Linked DNA regions of Oryctolagus cuniculus. The protein of the gene in region 2 interacts with the protein of the main gene of each other region in a biochemical or structural test. Links are inferred from orthologs where the notes say so. Each region holds a gene or a part of one and is shown on either strand. Other genes may lie near its edges.

Region 1 (4,326 bases), on a different chromosome or scaffold from region 2:
CTCCGCAGACTTGGCTGACTCAAAAATGATGTCAAGTCCCTTAAGCATTTCCCTTCACTGTGCCTTGTTTGATTCAGCCCCAGAAGAGCCCAAAACATTGGAGGAAAAGATCAGATGTCCATTATTTAAACCACCTATTAAATCAGCTTTGCCATTGTGATGTCAGTTTGTTTGAGGAGAAGTACCAGCCTAGTTTCCTGGGAGGATCACAGTTTAGAGATTATCGGTGAGATGTCTCATCTCCTCAGGCCATGTGGTTTTGTAATAGGTTTTGTATTGAGTTTGGAATTATAAAGAACATATTTGATCTTCACCTTGATCCTTAATGGAATACCTACTGTGTTCAGGAGACACTGAAAGATTATAGATCTCCTTGCTCCAGAGTTAATAGATTTGAATATTGACTTTCTAGAACATTTTCAGAATTCTCAGGAGATGTAACACACTACTTCACACTTGGTGCCCCCACACTGAATTGAGTGACCACCCTAAGACTCCTGGGGTCTGGTAGACCTCTTTCCATCTCTGGTTTGTCTTGGGGGAAGTGGGGGTGGAAGGGTGTTACAGGTCAGCTTTAGACAATGATGGGATTGATTGGTCTGGCTATACATAGAACTCCTGTGCATCAGGTGAATCTTGGGGTGGATCTGCTAACAGTGGGTCTGAAATTAATGGGGGAAAGAAGGAGTAAACTCCGCTGTGTTGCGCTTGGGACTCTGCGGGCCTCTCGTGTTTCACTTTTTATTCCCAAGGCTGCAGGAGGATGGTTGGCTCTGCTCAGATGGTCTCCAAAGCTGATACTTACTCTAGAGGGTACAGGTGCAGGAGAATTTACCCTTCCTTTAATCCCTTGTTTTCTGCTCTTCGTGCCTTCATTTTCCTTCTTCCTTCATCCAGTTGGCCAGTTCTACTTCTTAATCCGGAAGAGGATCCACCTGAGACCTGAGGACGCCTTATTCTTCTTTGTCAACAACACCATCCCTCCCACTAGTGCCACCATGGGCCAGCTGTATGAGGTAATGCTCCCGGTCGCAGCAGTTCCGAGCAGTCTGAGTTGTTGATAACACTGGGAAAGTGGGGCAGAAGGTGTTACTTACCAGGATCCTCTTACAGATGGCAGTGTCAGGCTCTGGGTGATCAGACAGCACTTGTCCTGCAGGGAAGCAGTCCTCAGGACTAGATTTATTCCCGCTGACAAATCTCTCTTCAGTCTCGCCTGACTACTGTTGTAATGTCAGTGGTCTTTATTGAAATGACTGGAAGTGGTTGTTGATAACAAAGATTCCAAACATGGATTCACTGCAGTTCCTCTTTTTCTTGTTGGTGACAAATAGTGTGAAAGCAAACTATGCATTCAGATCTCAGTTCATTATTTTATTGCTATTTATTTGAGAAAACAAATGGTGTTAATTTTAGCCCCTTCTAGCTCTGAAACTAACCTTAAGCTCTAAACCGAAATTTTGGTTTAAGACAACCATATAGAGCCACACAAGGGTAGCTCCTTATTTCTGAGTTCAAAGCTAAGAACATGAAACAGATTCACCATTACCTGGGCACAGTGAATTGTAATTGAAATTGAAATGCAAATTAAGGCCAAGTCTTCATTTTGATTCATTTATCTTAAGAGACAAACTCAGGGAGAATAACTTACCTGACTTGGTTTAATTGGTAATCTAATGAGTAAGCTATAGTAAAGCACTTTCTCACGTTGGAAATTGAACGTAACATTATAACTGTTGTACTCCTTAAAGGATTTCACACGAGTGCTGCCTTCTCATGGCGCCTCAGTAATGACACAAACTCTAATGGGACTTCTATTCCATAGTGTATCTTCTCCATTAATATATATTCCTGTACATGTCTTGTGGTATGTTTCCCTTGCTAATATGAACTTTAAAAAATATTTTAAATTATTTATTTGAAAGGCAGAGTGACAGAATTAGAATGAGATCTTCTACCCACAGGTTTAACCACTTCTGCTTACTCTTTTAATAGAGGCTAGTGATGTTCTTCATACTTATTCAATAAGGCTGTGTGTGGCTCAGAAGCCTAGGAATAATGAAGATGAATAGGTGTCCTGAGCTGTCTTCTTTTCTCTTCCCCAGGACAACCATGAGGAAGACTATTTTCTGTATGTGGCCTACAGCGATGAGAGTGTCTATGGGAAATGAGTGTTGGAAGCCCAGCAGATGGGAGCACCTGGACTTGGGGGTAGGGGAGGGGTATGTGTGGGACTTGGGGGAAGAGCAGGAGGGCTCCCACCATGGAGGAGACAGAATGTGAAGACATCGAGAAATATTACACCACACACACTGTCATCATATTTTCACATGCTCAGTTGATATTTTTTGCTGCTTCCTCGGCCCAGGGAGAAAGCATGTCAGAACAGAGCTGTTGGATTGGCTGTGAGAAAGGATTGAGGATGGCATAACTTTACAGCTTTGCTGAGAATACTTGTGCAATTTCATAGGAGGGTCAGCGTATGGACCAGGTGGGGCCAGAGACAGTTGCGGTCCAACAGTGACTCCCTCCTCACCATTCTAGTTTTGACATTCACATGAGACCAAAAGGGGAGGAAGACAGGAATGTTTTATGACTTGTGGTGGTGGGCCGTGCCTTCTGGGGACCAAGCCCATTGTAACTGAAGCACTGTGGCCTTCCACGACTCCTCCCTTCCATCCAAGTTGTATTGTCACACACAAACATCTCAGTGCCACCCCAGAGGTGGCAGTAGACACAGGCACAGAAATTGAGATGGCACTCTCTTACCTTGAAAATAGGGGTTAGTCATGACGGTGGTTATGATTACGAGGTAGTTAGGCCAGCACTGAACTGGAACGGACTTGAGTGTTGAGCCTCTCTAACCTGCTGTCTCTCTGGTGCCCCTTATCCCACACCTTTCTTGGAACTCAATGGGCCCCAGGCTAAAACTACTCCTTTAGCATATCCTTTAGCGTTTCCCGTGTATAGGGACAGAGGTGTCTTAGGTATGGCAGAGGCAGGTGGATCTCCAACTCCCACTCATCCAGACTCCTTCCTCTCCTGCTGCTGTCCCTGCAGTCTCACACGCACAGGACGGTGCTGACGGTGGCCAGCTGCTTCCCTCCTTTGGTTTCCACGCTGCAGCTGCTTGTCACAAGAGTTCGGAGGGCTGACTTTCAGTCACTATCGGGGATTTTACTGATCTGTTTTCCCTGCGGGGGTTACGTGGGGTGGGGTGGGGCCCAGGAATTGCACTCAGACGTGACATTTCATTTCATCTCCGCTACTAGAAAGAGTCCTTCCTGTTGGGAAATCTGTGTGTCAGTTCTGTCAGCTGCAGGTTCTTGTATAACAAAGTCAATGCTGTCAGGCCTCAGAAATAAAGTAATTTGCTCACCTTCAGAATTTACATGGAGTTCATAAGTGTTGCTTTTATTCGGTGTACGTTAGAGTAGATGGCACGCGGACTCTGAGCAGAACGCTGGGAGCGAGGTGAGCGAGTGCTCACCTCCATGATCAGATGTACACGTGTCGTCTCAGCTCGTTGCTGACCTGGAGTTGCCCTCGAGGGTGAGTGGTAGAGTGGGGCAGTGTGCCCGGTGTGCTGGTGATGTGTGCTTTGGCAGAGCTGAAGGTGGAACTGCCTGCATCAGAGCATGGCGGGCGGGTCGGGGGTGTGCGGATTACAAATGAAGATGTCTGGGCCTTGTCCCAAACGTATGTGACTCAATCACAGCGTAGGCGTCTGGAGTTTTAATAGCACCTCCTGTGACTCTGCTGCACACTGAAGTTTGCCAGCCACTGCCTTTGCAGCAGGTTTTGCTGCTTATTCCAACCATACCTTATTCCCCCCATCCCCCACTACATCTTGGTCAGATGTGAAGCCACCATCTCCTCTAGCAGCAAACGAGCACCAAAGTAAAGCTCCTGGTGTGAGAACAAACTTGTTGTCTTCGGAACACATGAGAGTCTTGCATTCAGTCAGGAACCAGCATGTACACTGTAAGAGAAGGAACAACAGAGACGTTCATCTCCTTGCATGAGAACCTTAAAAGCCGTCTTTAGCCTCCTTGAGCCTCTTGCACCTGTACTCCCTGGGGTGTCTGCCTCTATAGAGTTTTATGGAGTATGTCAAAGTCACTAGAAAGGAAGATCCATAGCAAGATTGCAACTACCAAGCTGTGCCCAGCCAACTGATTGGGAAAGTGAGGATTGAGAGGACAGGAGAGGCCCAAGCCCAGCAGGCACTTTATGCAGACAAGTATGGAAAACCAAGGCATTTTGATCAAAGCCTTGAAAGTATACACCTTGTCACTACAAAATGCCAGGTTGCTCTTCCCTAAT
Region 2 (4,326 bases):
TTTTTAAAATAAGCCTCAGGCTGAAAAGGGGGTAACAAAAACACAGGAAGGTAGAAATTGTAAAATGAGTAGAAAAGAACTGATTTCCTCAAACTCTTCCACTATCACACTGAGAAAACAACAAACTGAAAAACCAAGACGATTTTCCAACCCTTTATTCTGCTGAAGAATAAGGACCTTACAGGCATATTTCCAGGGGGACAAAAGCAGTGATGTGAGAAATAAACACCACTTTCATTTCTCTTGCAGTTAAGAACATATAGGAAGAAAATGAACAGTGACTAATCTTTGACAGATAATTTCACTATTTTTTGCATAGAATCTAAATTCAAATAAGCTTATTTGATTTGCTTTATGCTTACTTACATTCAAAACTACAACACTTACAAGGTTAACATTTTTAACAAACAGCAATTTCCTTACCCTCATTGGATGTATATCCGCATAAGGTGGTTTTCCTTCAGCCATTTCTATAGAAGTAATGCCAAGGGACCAGATGTCAGCCACACAGTTATAGCCTATTTCTTGAATTACTTCAGGAGCCATCCAAAATGGAGTTCCTATCACAGTATTACGTTTTGCCATTGTATCCTGTAATAGCATTATGCAGACATAAATACTACTATAAAAACACAAAGGAAATCTGTATGCCAACATGTCCTTTAAAATACACGTTAAACTCTTAAATACCACAGAGTACATCTGAAATGAACTATATTGCTAAGATTTCAACTAGTCACAATACAATATATTCAGGAATTTTAAATTATGAAATAAATAAGAGCCTAACAAGTAACCTACTTCTACTATCTTCATTAAAAAGCCATTAAAGGCCGGCGCCGCGGCTCACTAGGCTAATCCTCCGCCTTGCGGCGCCGGCACACCGGGTTCTAGTCCCGGTTGGGGCGCCGGATTCTGTCCCGGTTGCCCCTCTTCCAGGCCAGCTCTCTGCTGTGGCCAGGGAGTGCAGTGGAGGATGGCCCAAGTGCTTGGGCCCTGCACCCCATGGGAGACCAGGATAAGTACCTGGCTCCTGCCATCGGATCAGCGCGGTGCACTGGCCGCGGTGGCCATTGGAGGGTGAACCAATGGCAAAGGAAGACCTTTCTCTCTGTCTCTCTCTCTCACTGTCCACTCTGCCTGTCAAAAAAAAAAAAAAAAAAAAAAAAAGCCATTAAAAATTAATCAACATAGCTTCCCTTTTACAACACTTAAGCATTTGAAAGCAAGGTATATTTTCATATTCAATATCACTAATTATAAATAAAATAAATAATGCTCAATTTGGTTCAATTATTGCTTTCTCCAGAAGAACAATAAAGTCACACATTTCCTCCCATACTCCCCAGAGTTAACAAAGTTTAGATACAAACCAGAACAAATCAGACAAACGTGTTCTCAAAATTATTAAAGTCAACTTACTGTTAACTGACCAGCCACACCAAAGTCTGCCAATTTTGCGTGTCCTTCTGTATTGAGGAGAATATTTCCAGCTTTTATATCTCTGTGAATTTTCCTCATAAAGTGCAAATATTCTAGTCCTTTCAATGTAGATTTAAGAATGGTTGCAATTTCATCTTCTGTTAACTGGAAAGAAATTTTTTAAAGTCATACTGAAATACCATGTCAGATAAATTCTTATAAGAGAGCACTAGGAACAACATTTCTTTCTAATGACCACTACATCTTTAGGAAGAGCCTAAAGGTTAAAATAATAAATAACATGTTTTCCATCTACAATGTTGTTAGTCATTATCATTATAAATTTTACTGATGAAATGAGGATTAAATTTCTTTTCTGTTTAAAATTAGCAATGTACTTCATACGGCATTGACCATATCCTAAGAACCAGCATGACCATAAAAAAATCAGTATTTCTCACTTTGTCTAACATTTGGTCAGTGCACTATTGCAATTCTCTGTCCTGAAAAAGTAAATTGAGACACTTTTCCCTGAATTCCTCTGATTTTTGAAGAAAATGAAAGCCCACAACTTTACAAAAAGGAAAGACAATGAGGATAGGTAGCTAGACACAAATCTCCATCATGAGAAGAGCTGGCACAAATGCCACTCTTCCTGCTTCCAACCATGTCACTCTTAATCCAACCAATTCCTAGGCTTCTGACCTAATACTGAAAACTCAAAAATGAAAATGTCAGAGAAAGATGTGGGATATGGAAACACAAAAAAGCAGTTAAAGGAAAGAAAGGAGAGAGAAGAGAGAAGAAGGGCAAGTCTATCTATAATAGGCATTAATGAAAGTCAGCATTCATTACCTCATTTATCCTTACTACAGTCCTATATGGTGGTTTCATATTACGAAATGACAAGAAATAAATATTTGCTCTTTCTTTCCCAGGTTTCTAGCACAACAGCTCCTTAGGTGGAGTAGTAGGTAAAGGCAATGCCTGCAACAACGGTACCCCACATGAGTGCCGGTTTGGGTCCCAGCTGTTCCACTTCTGTTCCAACTCCCTGCTAATACGCCTGGGAGAGCAGTGGAAAATGGCCCAAATTCTTGTGCCCCTGCACCCATGTGAGAGACTTGGATAACTTCCTCTCCTGGCTTCAGCATTTCCTACCTCCGACTGTTGTGGCCATTTGGGGAGAGAACCAGCAAATGAAAGACCTATTAATTATGGACTTAAAAAAATAAAAATTGCTCTAAGACCTACATGTAAGACCTAAAACTGTCCAACTCCTAAGAAAAAAAACAGCAAAAGCTTCACAATATTAGATTTGGTAATGATTTCTTGAATATGACAAAAATATATATGCAACAAAAGGAAACAGACAAATTGGGCTTCATAAAAATTTTTAAAATTTGTGCATAGGAAGGAAACCAATATCAACAAAATGAAAACACAACCTACTGAATGGAATGGAAGAGAATATTTGTAAATTATGTATCTAACTAGAGATTAATATCCAGAACATACAGAGAACTCCTAAAGCTCAGCAATGAAAAATAAATAAGTAAAAATGGGCAAAGGGTTGAAGATATTTTTCCAAAGATAGACAAATGGCCAATAAGAACATGAAAAGATCTCCAGCATCATTAGTCATAATGGATATTAAAATCAAAACTTCAAGATATCATTTCACCCTCATTACCACAGCTATTATCAAAAAGCAAAATAATAAATTTTGGCAAAGATGTGGATAAACTGGAATCCTTGTGCACTCTAGGGAGAAATATAAAATGGTACAGCTGCTGAGGAAAATAAAAATTCAACCACAGAATTACCTTTTGACTCAGGAGTTCAGCTTATGGGTATAAACTCAGTAGAACTAAAAACAAGTGCTCAAGATTTTGTACAACCAATGCTCATGGCAGATTAATTCACAGTAGACAAAAAGCAGAAACCACTCAAGTATCCACTGACAAATGAAAAGGTAAGCAAAATGTAATATTATTCAGCCTTAAAAAGGAAGGCAATTCAGCAATATACTACAGCATAGGCAAATTTTGAGCACATTATGCTAGGTAAAATAACCCAAACATTCACAATTAAAAAATGAATACTGTATGAATCAGCCAATATGATATTTAGAACAATCTAGAATATCTAGTAAAAATCAGACATAGAAAGTCAAATGGTAGTTGCCTGGGGCTGGGTAGAAATAAAGACTTGGTGTTAATTCCAAGATGGCAGAATAGGAAAAATGTGTACTACTCTAGGCTAGGGAAAAACAGTTTAAAAAAAAAAAAAAAAGAAAGAAAAAGGGGGCCAGCGCTGTGACTCAGTAGGTTAATCTCCGCCTGTGGCACCAGGAATCCATATGGGTTCTAGTTCTAGTCCTGGCTGCTCCTCTTTTGATCCAGCTCTCTGCTGTGGCCTGGGAAAGCAGTAGAAGATGGCCCAAGTGCTTGGGCCCCTGCACCCACATGGGAAACCTAGGGGAAGCTCCTGGTTCCTGGCTTCAGATCGGCCTAGCTCCAGCCATTGCAGCCATCTGGGGAGTGAACCAGCAGGTGCAAGGCCTTTCTCTCTGTCTTTCTCTCTCACTATCTGTAACTCTAACTCTCAAATAAATAATAAAAAAAAAAAAAAAAAGGAAAGGAAAAAAAAGTAGAGAAAGTAAATTCTCAGGGGAGAGTTAGAAAACTGTGGTGGAAATTCTACAGAAGGAAGAGGGATGCCGTGGATCTGTTTAGAAGGTACAGATGTGCAGCAATGAGCACGGACACACACAGCAGCCCAGATGAGAAAAGCACCAGCTTTGGAGAACAAGGTGAGATCAGACTGCAGTGGCCTGTGCCACTGGTAATGCAACTGGAATGAGAGCCTGGCAGATTACACTGTCTCTGAGTCTGGCCTGAA
Region 3 (5,099 bases), on a different chromosome or scaffold from region 2:
ACATGATTGGGTCACACAGCACACTGGGTACTCTGCTCCCCTCAAAAAGATACTTTTCAACAAAAATGTTCTATCCCATGCCTCTGCCCAAATGATACATAGATACTTTATTTTTCCCCATGTCCTTTATTTTACTACCTCATTATCTCCTGAAATGCAGAGTGCCTGGGAAAGATTGTAAGCCCCATGTCCCAGCTGAGAAAGCACTTAGAAAACATCACAAACCCTTATGACGATTGTCTAACGGCTGCAGCTGGAATTTATTTTCCCCTGACCTCTCTCTTACCTCTACCTTCAGCCTTCAGATCTGAATACACATGAAGTTTCCTGGGATTGTGGGAGCTCTGGGGAGGCATGGTTTTAGGAAGCATGGGAAAAAATACACACATTGAGAATAGGATTTGGTGCCAGGTACCATGTTAGCTGCTTTACCTAACCCAGTTCGTTAAGCCTCCTATACCCACTCTAAGTTAAGGTATTCAAAATCATAATTAGTAAAGTGAAATCACCTACATAAGATCAGAAGTTAAGGTGAATGTAGTGGGAGCACCACGCCTGGCACCAGCTTTGCATGGTGTCGGAGCCCAGGCCTGCCCCTGAGAATCCCAGTGTAGGATGGGTCCCACCTCAGTGTAATCTGACCGAGTTGTCTTGATCCCTGCAAGGTATGCTTCCCACCTGGCCTTCCAACCTGCAAGGCAACTGGGGAGATTTAAATGAAATCCAGACTTGAAAGATGCTTGGCCCCAGAGTGTCACACACCTGCTTTGTATTATGCACACCTGAGGGGCTGCCTCCTTTTGAAGAACAAGTGAAACAGCATGAGGTCAATTTCTCTCTTCAGTGATGCTGTCAGTTAAGCACCTGCTGCCTATTCCTGATCTCTGACCTAAAGCCCTGAGACTCACCCTTCCTTTCTACTCAACCTGCAAATATGGAGAACATATTTCCCTCCTCCACTCTATTGTGTATTCACTTCAAAACTCTTCACTGTTCCATGACTGCTGGGAAGTCAGAGTATACATAAGCACTCTTCACGACAAAGGAAACGTAAACCTGCTCACTCAGAATCTGAAGGGCTCCTTGGATAGGCATAAGAATCTGGAAGCAAGCTCTGAGAATCAAGAGAGCCACCTTCCGCCTGCTACTCCATGTTTGATCCCAAGGCAAGAAAATTACCTTCTGTGTGCCTCTGCTGCTCACCTCACTTCTTAAAGATCCTAGAACGGTCCCTCCTTCCTGCCACTATTGCAGAGAAGATAAATGACACCACATACTGTCATGTATGTCTACCTTGTGCCTCAGCTGGGTTCTAATCCCAACTGCCTTCTCACTAGCTATTGTGGCTTTAAGCAAATCACTTAAGCTTTCTGAATACAGGGGTTTGTTCTTTGAAAAGCAGCAAAGACTGCCTTGAGAATTATGGAGCACATTTCAGAGAGAGGCAGATTTATCATGGACTCACCTCAAGCTGGTTCATTACTGAAGTGCAAAAACAACCGTGGCATAAGGCAGTTCCACCTCTCTAAAGTCCTCAGCCCATACCTCGGCTGTCAGAGTGTGCATTCCAATGATTTCATCATGAACCCTAATTTCTTTAGCAAAGAAACATCTTGAACTGGTCAAGAGCAAAGTGACTTTCTCTGACCAGCAAGCAGGTGGCCATTCCATTTCCAGCCTCAGCACTGACCTCCTGCTGCCCAGGAAGGGGGAGTCGAGAGAAGGGAGGGTCAGGATTGGCCTGATGTCACTCAGCCCTATTTAAAGCCTCCTTTAGGCTCCTGCAGACAGCGTGGATGCAGCTGGGGGAATGAGTTGTGGGTTTTTTTTTTCTTTTTCCCTTTAAAGACCAACACAGACACAGCTGTTGAGCAAAATGCCGCCTCTACAGAAAAACCCAAGCCTCAGACCCTTCAAGCAGAGGAAGAGCCTAGGTAAAGCTCTGGGCAGCTCTCTGGGTAACTTGAGAGGCAGGAGAGGATGCATCTTTCTCTAACTGTCCACTTACTCTTTTCTACCTGAAATCTCTACAGCAACCAGACAAGAGGAAGTTGCTGGAATCCGGGCAAAGTTCCCAAACAAGATCCCGGTAAGACTCACTGTCCTTCCCCAGAGGAGCCTGTATCTGTTCTTTGAAGAAACAAAGATCAAACAATGGCCTCCCCCTCTCTTTCCCAAGTCCCTAAGATACTGGGGGCTCTGAGTCACATTCTTAGGCACCTGCCTCAGGAGAGACCCATGCTAATACTCTTGGCAGGTGATAGTGGAGCGCTACCCCAGAGAGAAGCTCCTGCCCCTGCTGGACAAAACCAAGTTCTTGGTTCCTCAGGAGCTGACCATGACCCAGTTTCTCAGCATCATACGGTAGGTGACACAGCGGACATGTGTGTGTGTGTGTGTGTGTGTGTGTGTGTGTGTGTGAGAGAGAGAGAGAGAGAGAGAGAGAGAATTAGAGAATTTTGCAACTATCTGTAAGTTTGCTGCATTCTTTGGTTGGAATGTGGGTATTCCAGAAGAAAAGGGGGTTGAGATCTTTTGGTGACTCACTCATCTTTTAGATTCTGTTGTGCCCTAAAAAGATGCTGTGAGAATTATTCTATTTTAAACAAGTGGGGAGAACCCCTTAGACAACAAGCAACAGACTGCAAGAGCTGCCGACATTTCGAAGAATTCCCTAGAGTAGTTCTGGCTCTCGAACTCATCCAGAAGATCCTTCTTCCAGAAACTGTGTGCAAGCCAGTCTGCGTGTCCCTGGCAGAGAGCAGCAGCTTTCCTCAGGGTTTGTGTTTCTGGCAGACGGGGAACTGTTTGAAAAGCAAAAGGTCCCTGCCCTTCTTAAAGCTTAAGAGGGTTAAGTGGTGTCGCCTGATGCATGAGTGCAATTAGAAAATGATTTGTGAGTAAATACAGCCAGTGACTAAGTCCTCACCAGGTTGAAAAGTCTGTTTGGAGGCTGAATAGCCACTGTTGCCTGTTGCTTTGAGGGCTCACTGTGAATGAATGAGTGTCTTCATTTTGTTTTGTTTCAAAGAGTTGTCGAAGTTTCCAAGTTCATTGTGAAGACAGATGCCTAAAGAGATATCAAAGTCGGGAGGAGATCCCATTGTATCAGTTAATCATTAGGTGACCCCTTGGGGATGGAGAACCCTTTTTCCTCTTCCCAGTCACTGCTCCTGGCTCCCAACCTACATCCTCATCCTCATCCTCATCAATGTTTATTGAGCACCAACTGTATTCTGTGTGTCTTCTGGACTCTGTAGAGCCAACTGTGAACAAAATAGACAATAATGCCTGTCTGTGGCCTTCTCCCCCTTGGGGATGCCCAAACACTCATCAAAAGTGAGTTTGCGAAATGAAGGAGATGAGTGCAAGCTCGGGCACAGGAGCTTTTCCAACCCAGCCAAGGGCAGTATTCCCATCCCTAGTTCCACTCTTCTTCCACCCCCACCCCACTGCAGAATGGTTGCTTTTCACCCAAAGGCACTGGGCAATAGCCAGAATGAATACCTTTGGTATTCTTTTAGGAGAAATTACCTGAGTATAAACTGAATCAGATTCCAGTCACTCCCCATGTCCCATTTATGTTTGATCTTATCCCACATCGAGGCTCAAAATTCTGAGAGTGCAGTGGGAAATTGTGTCTGTTTCACTAATTAGAGCAAATGGAAGTGTGTGAAAGGTGAGACTGAGCCTTCCTGTAGGCACCTATATTGATTCACTGTCAATCACTGCACACTGAATTGGAAGTCTGTTTACCCTTGACATTTAAAGGATGTCCAACTAAGCCTTGCTCCTTCTCCATCTCGTCGGTGGCAGAGGAGAAATGGCAAGGGAAGGGAAGGGCACACTTCAAGGCCTTTCCACCCCTGTTTAATTGTGAGACGCTGGAAAGATAATGTATCATTCTTGCACCCTTGGGGAAATAGCTTTCTTTTTTTTTTTTTTTTAAGCTCAGCATTTACTTGGGGAAGCAAGAGAAATAAACAGGAACTTAAGGGTTTTATTAAGGGAGGAGGGGATCAGAAAGATAAACTAGGAGTTCCATACCAGGCAGAGAGCATAACGGGGGCCATGTGCAGGAAGCTACAGGCCAGAAACCGCGTGGGCAGGAGCAGCAGCACAAACAGGTGGCCTGCATGAAGCCCACAGAAAGCAGGGAAGGGGGGGCAGTGTTCTCCATGCCTCTTATTCACTGGGGAAATAGCTTTCAACGAGACCTAGGACTTATTTGCTTAGCATTATTGTGTTGGTATTCGCCTTAGTTAAAAATGGAATGGCCTCATCCTTTGGGCCCAACTGGGAGGCCCTGAGGATCTTAAAGTTCCAGGAACAGCTGTGGGCAATTCAGTTGTCTTGCACATCCTGAGCCTTCAGATTCCTAAGCTGATTCCCAGGTCAAGTCTCTCACTACCCTTCTCCCCTTCCCAGGAGCCGCATGGTCCTGAGGGCCACCGAAGCCTTTTACCTCCTGGTGGACAACAAGAGCTTGGTCAGCATGAGCATGACCATGGCAGAGATCTATCGGGACTACAAGGACAAGGACGGCTTTGTCTACATGACCTATGCCTCCCAGGAGATGTTTGGCTGCTTGGAGTTAGCAGTTCCCAGCAGTGGGAGCAGCCATGGGAACAGACCTGAAATCCCATTCACCCCATGTCAAGAGAAACTTGTCCTCTGATGGATGCATCAGACACTGTCAGAGGCACTGTTCTTGTGTGTATGTTGGAGGGGACTGGGAAGCAGGGATACATGGGGTGATCGGCTCCACCCAATGACTGCAAAGCTGTGGCCCTCCCTGGCTCACATTCTTTGTGCTTTCTGTTCTTACTTTAAGAAAAATGTGAGCTGCTTTTGCAAGTTTTGTAAATAGTCACTTTCTTCTAAATACGAAATGATGAGCTGTGCAACGGTTTTGTGACATGAGCTGGGCATGTATCTTAAGTGTTCCCTGTGGTGGAGGTGGGCAGGCCCTTGAGGAGTTATTTTAACCCCTACCTGTGGGCAGCTGTAGAGCAGCTCTGGCCTATGGAGCCAAGTGGAGTCAGAGGAAACTATGGCAAGCTCACCTGGGGGTGCCCTGACCTGTGTCTTCTGAGAGA

Evidence for each region.
Region 1: the proteins of STK3 (region 2) and GABARAPL1 form a complex in vitro, tested with the Homo sapiens proteins (2 studies listed by BioGRID and IntAct). The link is inferred for Oryctolagus cuniculus from reciprocal best matches to the Homo sapiens genes STK3 and GABARAPL1.
Region 3: the proteins of STK3 (region 2) and microtubule-associated proteins 1A/1B light chain 3C form a complex in vitro, tested with the Homo sapiens proteins (2 studies listed by BioGRID and IntAct). The link is inferred for Oryctolagus cuniculus from reciprocal best matches to the Homo sapiens genes STK3 and MAP1LC3C.

What each region holds. Positions count from the first base shown.
Region 1 is NC_091440.1:106,922,878-106,927,203, forward strand, and holds the end of GABARAPL1 (gamma-aminobutyric acid receptor-associated protein-like 1), read left to right. Parts: intron 1-897; coding exon 898-1,016; intron 1,017-2,105; coding exon 2,106-2,171; 3' UTR 2,172-3,391; downstream 3,392-4,326. UniProt on the Homo sapiens protein: Ubiquitin-like modifier that increases cell-surface expression of kappa-type opioid receptor through facilitating anterograde intracellular trafficking of the receptor. Involved in formation of autophagosomal vacuoles.
Region 2 is NC_091437.1:124,241,180-124,245,505, forward strand, and holds part of STK3 (serine/threonine-protein kinase 3), read right to left. Parts: intron 1,588-4,326; coding exon 1,423-1,587; intron 592-1,422; coding exon 424-591; intron 1-423. UniProt on the Homo sapiens protein: Stress-activated, pro-apoptotic kinase which, following caspase-cleavage, enters the nucleus and induces chromatin condensation followed by internucleosomal DNA fragmentation.
Region 3 is NC_091444.1:55,581,498-55,586,596, forward strand, and holds the start of microtubule-associated proteins 1A/1B light chain 3C, read left to right. Parts: upstream 1-1,768; 5' UTR 1,769-1,876; coding exon 1,877-1,934; intron 1,935-2,033; coding exon 2,034-2,089; intron 2,090-2,257; coding exon 2,258-2,364; intron 2,365-4,428; coding exon 4,429-4,678; 3' UTR 4,679-5,099.